Linked DNA regions of Nothobranchius furzeri. Each later gene encodes a partner of the first gene's protein in a complex. Links are inferred from orthologs where the notes say so. Each region holds a gene or a part of one and is shown in the gene's direction. Other genes may lie near its edges.

The links.
Region 2: the proteins of slc39a7 (region 1) and mettl9 are in contact, whole or in part, in a crystal structure (PDB 8GZE), measured with the Homo sapiens proteins. The link is inferred for Nothobranchius furzeri from reciprocal best matches to the Homo sapiens genes SLC39A7 and METTL9. Residues at the interface, in NP_001070984.1 of Homo sapiens: Gly65, His66, Thr67, His68, Glu69; in NP_057109.3 of Homo sapiens: Arg114, Thr115, Asn118, Arg123, Gly124, Met126, Met179, Asn210, Asp213, Arg214, Val241, His245, Tyr247, Glu249, Trp255, Tyr295, Leu296, Cys297, Glu298, Asp300, Tyr306, Val307, Leu308.

Annotation. Positions count from the first base shown.
Region 1 is NC_091759.1:22,345,442-22,348,369, forward strand, and holds part of slc39a7 (zinc transporter Slc39a7), read left to right. Parts: coding exon 1-46; intron 47-172; coding exon 173-247; intron 248-319; coding exon 320-448; intron 449-2,319; coding exon 2,320-2,433; intron 2,434-2,631; coding exon 2,632-2,828; intron 2,829-2,928. UniProt on the Homo sapiens protein: Transports Zn(2+) from the endoplasmic reticulum (ER)/Golgi apparatus to the cytosol, playing an essential role in the regulation of cytosolic zinc levels.
Region 2 is NC_091756.1:2,151,368-2,155,122, forward strand, and holds the start of mettl9 (protein-L-histidine N-pros-methyltransferase), read left to right. Parts: upstream 1-1,466; 5' UTR 1,467-1,566; coding exon 1,567-1,746; intron 1,747-3,411; coding exon 3,412-3,602; intron 3,603-3,674; coding exon 3,675-3,755. UniProt on the Homo sapiens protein: Protein-histidine N-methyltransferase that specifically catalyzes 1-methylhistidine (pros-methylhistidine) methylation of target proteins.

The DNA of each region.
Region 1 (2,928 bases):
GGACTGCTGGGTGACGCCTTCCTCCACCTCATCCCTCACGCTTTGGGTAGGAACTTTGAAGGCTATTTATGCTGAATCTGTCTCAAACATTTGAAATGAAACAATAACAGAACTTTTAGTTTGTCTTCTTGAATGATTACGTTTGATTCCTCCCGGTGTGTTTTCCACACAGAACCCCACTCTCATCATGGAGATGAAGGCCACTCGCACGCTAGCGAGCAATCACACGGCCACGGTCACTCCCACGGTACGTAGATGCTTCACAACCAGACCATAAAAACACGGATCAGGATCCTAACCTGACCCTCTCCCTCCACAGGAGCCGCCCACGGTCACATGATGTCTGTAGGTCTGTGGGTTCTCGGTGGGATCATCGCCTTCCTGGCGGTTGAGAAGTTTGTCCGTCTGCTGAAGGGAGGACACAGTCACGGGCATTCTCACTCGCAAGGTACACACACTTTTTTCTGGAAAACTCCTTTTTAAAATAAATCTGATTCAAGTGTTTTTGTCCTAATTTCAGTGTTTAACAGTTAGAATCAACTTTGTGTAAAACTATGAAAAAACAAGGTTTTTATCATTTTGAACAATAATTTATAGTTAGCCCCCCCCCCAATACCTCACATGATCACATGACTACAAACACCTGCTCTCTATGGGATGTTTGGGTTTTTGTTTTGCTGCTGTGGCCCCCAGACTCTGGACCTCTCTCCCCCTGAGCCTGAGATCAGTGGACTCAGTGGTCTCCTTTAAAAAGCAGCTGAAGACTCACTTGTTCAAGCTGGCTTTTGTTTGACCTTCTTCACCTCTCTCTCTTTACACCGAGGACACCGAAGCGCCGGGAGGCGAAGCACTCACGAAATTCGGCCGCTGCTCCTCAGTTCAGACCAGACGCTTGTTTCTCCGCTCCGGTCGAGGCGCGCCTCGTAGTTTCTTTTAACCACTTGGTGTCCTCCATTTCCTCTCCGCCTTTTCTCTGCTCTTTTCCTCGACACCCTAGCCTGGCAAGCCAGACTAAATAAATGTATTATTTAGTCTGGCCACGCTCCATTGACGGCTCTCAGTTGTGGGGCGGGTTCTACCGTTGTCTTTCAAATGATCTCCGCATGCTACTGGACAATGAATGTGACATACTCTTGTTTCACGCTGTTGCATCATCCCACCCACCAGGCATATAGAGTGCCCTGATTGACCCACAAAGCAGATAAAGCTCTGTGATTAGTTCACTAAGCAGATAGAGCACTATGATTGACCCACCATTATGGACCAATCACAGTTCTTTATGTGTTTGAAACCCCTCTAGAGAGCTGTGATTGGCTAGCCAGAGTCCTGGTAGGAGCTGCGGAGGTTCCAATGGAGCGTGCCTAGACCAAACTTTGCAAAGCAAGAATTTGGTCTAGTTCACTAGGCTATCGACACCCCCCTCCCCCTTGCTGTTTGTGTGTGTGTTTGTACGTGTGTGCGTGAACCAATGGTGTGAACCAGTTGTTAATAGCTGGCCTACGACTTTCTGCCGCTCTGTCCTGTTTGCTCTGGTTGAAAGACACCCAAAACCACACACCCTTCACGTGGACACACACACACACACACTCACACACACACACTCACACAAGTTCGCTGTGTGTGTGTGTGTGTTTGTGTGGTTTTTATGCAGTGTCTGTTTACGAACACATTTGACTATTGCGGAATTGTATTTTGAAATGCTTTATTTTGTTAAATTTACCGGCCTGCCTCTCATGTCTAGGTTTGACTTCCTGCCAGAATTGACGCGGTTCACCCGCGGCTCGCGAAAAAAATAGAGCAGACGCTGAAACGATTGCTGCACGGCGCGGGCTGGAACGCCGGCGTGCGGCGCTTCGGCGGCCCATGTGGTCTATAAAATAGGATAACCAGTCCCCGTTTCGCAGAGCTTCGGCGGCCGGTGTGTCCCCAACGTTATTCTGCTCTCCCCACCTATACCACCTTCCTCAGGATCCACTGATTTCCCTCTTTCCTATTCACTCTCTTTCTTAACATTCTTTTTAATCACAATTGTCTATTTTTTGCTCATTTTAAAAATATTTTTAACCATTTTCTAAATTCTTTTTTATATTTTTACATTTTTTGTTTTTGTGAAGCACCTCGTGATTTTTATCTTGAGAGGCGCTATAGAAATGATATTTTCTTCTTCTTCTTGTGTGGCCTCTAAAATAGCTTTAGAGGTGGCTTGCAATCTGTAATTAGGCCAGAAGATGTCGCTAAACTCAACACATCGAACTTGTTAGAGAGTCTTGTTAGGGACTTGTTAGAAATGAGTCTAATTTTCTGCTTTTATTCCATCAGCTGCTCCCAAGGAAAAGGACAGTGATGGAGAGAATGAGAAGGAAAAACAGAAGAAAGAAGAGAAAGGAAATAAAGTTGCAAAAGTGCCCAAAAAAGAGGAGAAAAAGAGCACAGGTGGGCGTGTTTATCGAACATGAAAGAGCTCCATCTACTGGTCAAACCATGAACTGCGTGTTTGTTTGGTGCAACTCGGTGGAAAACGGCTGAATGACCACATTTCTGTTTAATGCAGTTCGAGGAAAAAAAGTATCTTTATTACGTAACAATCCTTTTTTTTGTGACTCAAGTTTTGTTTTGTTTCCTTTAAATCAGACATCAAGGTGTCTGGTTACCTGAACCTGGCAGCCGACTTCACACATAATTTCACAGATGGCTTGGCGATCGGCGCGTCATTTCTAGTCGGACCAGCAGTGGGCGCTGTCACCACCCTGACCATCCTGCTGCATGAGGTCCCTCATGAGATTGGAGACTTTGCCATCCTGGTGCAGTCGGGCTGCACCAAAAGGAAGGTAACCGACGCCTCTGGATGGAAGTTTCTGAAGAACTTTAAAAAAAACAAAACTTAAAAGACTTTTTTTTTTTTTAAGAAAAAATTTAAAACTCACCTCA
Region 2 (3,755 bases), on another chromosome or scaffold:
AGAAGTAAATCATTCCTAACACGGACCAGGGCAGTTTCTGTGCTGTGGGCTGAACGGAAACCGGACTGGAATTTTTCATACAGATTATGAGTAATGAGATGATTGTGGAGTTGGCGTGCTACAGTTTTTCCAGTATTTTAGCTAAGAACGGTATGTTGGAGATGGGTCTGTAACGGGACAAGATAGCAGCGTTTAGAGAGGGCTTTTTCAGACGGGGACGGACTATTGCAGTTTTGAGGGCTGAGGGAACCTGACCTGAGTGTAATGACTGGTTTATAATTGTAGTGATTAATGGACTGATGACTGTAATATTTGATTTGAACAGTTGTGTCGGGAGAGGGTCAAGGGGGCAGGTTGAGGTATTCATGCTTTTTATTGTTTTCTCCACCTCCGTCTGGGTGGCTGCTGAGAAATCAGAAAAGGTATTTATTGTATGTGGAAGGGTGGAGTCAAACGGATGCCGAACTGTTCGACTGATGGAGGATCGGACTGATGCCACCTTGTTGGTAAAAAAGTCCATGAACCTATTGCATTTATCTATGCTAGTGTCAGTATGTGGATTTGTAGGAGGGCTTAGCCGTGAATTTATGGTGTAGAATAGCTGCTTTGAGTTTCCAGCACTGTTTACGAATTTCTGTGAAAAATATTTTGACCTGGCGGCAGTGAGTGCTCTAGAGTATGTTCTTTGATGGTCCCGGTAGGCCAGTTTATGAACAAGCAACCCCTTGGAGGTAAACAGACGCTCCAGGGCACGGCCATTTGTTTTCATCTTGTGTAGTTCTGTTGTATACCATATACCATTATAGCATAGGAAAACCATATGTGCCTTACCTGGGTGTGAAATTTAATAAAACTGCCTTATTCTGCCCAGCTGTGTGCATCAGGTCTGTTTCTTTTCTAAAATAATGAAAACGGGTGAAAAACTGGTCCAAATCATGATCAGCTTTGACTTAATTATTGATTAAATTATACAAATTGAATCTGATGATGAGAGATGTGCTCTAACTTGTTAACAGCCTTAAACTGTTAAAGTGAAAACATAGGAAAGCCTAATAATTAAGTAATAAGATAACCCCAATAGCAAGGCAACAGATATAAAGTAGTGATAAAATGCAACAAGATTTATTACAAGTTCACATTTGACGTTTTTCAGGTTCTTTTATGAAAGAACCTGAAACTAGTTTGTTGCGAAACAAGAAAGGATGTTTGTTATAGCGATGCGTTCACATTTTCTTCAAAAAACTCCTCAAAATCTGGCTGTAATCTTAAAAACGCTTAGTGCGTGAAAACAGTAGCCAATCGTAGGAGAGCCCTTCCAGCCAATCAGAGGCGAGAATGGCGGGACCTTCCTTGGACACGCGCGCAGGACGCAGCGCGCGCAGGACGCGGAAGTGACTTTTGTTGTGGGCGGAAGCAGACCCGTGAGTTGTTTCTCTGCCCCTCCACGTCCGCTTCAGGTTGGTTGCTTTGTTGTTTTTCACCTCAGACGTGTTGTCTCCACCCGTCTGACTGCTGGTTGGACTTCCTGGACACAGCAGCCTGTCCTGCAAAGACTCTTATGTCCATATGTGTCCCCTGCAGCTGAGGGCGCTGGTTTTTGTGGCCTGGGTGGTGTTTTACATCACCTTCCTGCTGTCCTTCAGGAGGATGTGGAGCGGTAAGTACGTCCGCAGCCCCCTGGTCCGGTCCCTCTTCATGACCATGGTGAGCGACAGCGAGGAGGTTCCGGCGGCTGAGAAGCAGGAGGTAGGGAGGTCTTCCAAGTCCACTGAAGTGAGATGAAACTGCTGTGAAACCCTTAGATAAAATGTCCACAGTTAATGCCATGAAGCTTCATTAAAAACCCTCTTGTAGGTGATTTTAGAATATGGAAGAATGCCTTGCTCTTTTACCAGCTCTCCTCTTGACAAACTCCCATTTATATACATGTATTCTTTGTCTTTCGTCTTATCCCACTTATATCCCCGTATTCTGTTTTTTGCTGTTCATACTTCACTGTTTTTCTTATTTCTAACTGATAATTGACTACAAACCCCGGGATTGCAACCACGTTGGAGCCACTCTATAACATGTTATATTGCTTACATGTTCTGAAATGGCGTCGTCATATCTAAATATGATCAATAAAGTATACAAAGAAAAGGTGGAATTGACCACTTCAAGTTGCCGTAGTGTACTCGTTGTCATTGGCCGTGCTCGAGATGGGCCAGTTCTGCACAGATTAGATTACCGATGATCGGTGTGCAGTGCATGCCGGGTAGATTTGTGTCCGACTTGACGCCGACTTGCACTGATGTCATGCCTACGTAGGCAACGATAACCCCGTGAGATCAAGGCGGTTGCAGATGTTGGAGCCAGGCACTGCAGTTGCTCTCCACTGGTTGCTAAATCTGGCTCTCACCTGATCTAAGATCTGATTGGTTCCCATTCTGATCCGAACATCCGGTGGTAGAATGAGAAATGCTAGTTGGTCACATGTAGTCTGTAAATCATGTTACGTTGACGACGATTGACTACTTCATAGGGGGCCTAAGTCTCCTCCCTTTCCGATCAGCTCATGGGTCCCCGGAAGAACGAAACAGCTATTTTCTAATCCGCTTTGCTTCACGCCCTGGATCACACATGTTTTACTGCAATTTAAATGACGTACTTTGAGATTTATCAGCTTGTAAACGTTCGTAATTAGCATGACTATACACCAGAAATCGGTACGTTGCATATGTGACGTCACCACATAAGCTCCTCCCCCCTAGCATAGCTGCTACTTACCACATGACCAGATTTATGGCGGTTCTTTCCTCCTGTGGGAAGTTTGCTGAACTTACAGCCATTTTCCCTGTTTTCTCCGTGTCCGGTTCGATGACGTCACTTTCGTGAAGCGCATTTGTAGTCCTGGGCTTATTTTCACACAAAACCTAAAGTAACGTTTCCCCCGTTCGAAAATAAATGCGTTCTTGGGATCAAAATGTGTCTTTAAAGTTCACGGACATTACGTGTGAAATCCATGGCACAAAACAAGCAGAATTAGAAAATAGCATTTTTAACCCCATTGACTTGCATTCATTTTTTCATTCTTCCGGGGACCCGTGGTCCAGAGGTAGGGGGCGTGGCTTAGGCTCCCTATTCCCAACACACCGTTTTTTTAATGTTTTGAATTTGTTTTATATTTGAAATTCAATAAAAAGATATTTATTGACTTATTTAATTTATATTGCACACAGTGAGTGTTCAGTTGTCTTTCACAATCAGTGTGCTGCTAAAACGTATATAAATATCGGCCTTAATAATCGGCCATCGGCAACAAAACTCTTTAAAAATCGGCATCGGCCTTACAAGAAACCCCACATTGGTCGGCCTCTAGTCTGTTATTTACATAGAGACAGGTTTGTGACTTTCCATTTCCTTGGCCAGTGGTACCGGTGCTGCTCTAACCTGCTTGGAGAATCAGCACGACACGTTTTCGTTCAGAGTCACCTGGACTCGGACACTGAGGCTTTTCTAAGGCGCAGCAAGGAGAAGTCCAGCTGGCTGTTCACACAGCTCTATCACTCCCTCGTGTCGACGGTCCTCAACCCTCTGGTGTCGCGTACCTCCATCAATGGGTGAGTATGGATCGGGTCTCAATTAATAGCTGCTGTTCCTCCTTGTTCTCCATGTTCTTCTCTTTGTCTCAGGTTTTTGGGTCGGGGATCAATGTTTGTGTTCTCCAAAGACCAGTTTCACCAGCTGCTCCGGATTGGACCCGACTGGAGAGC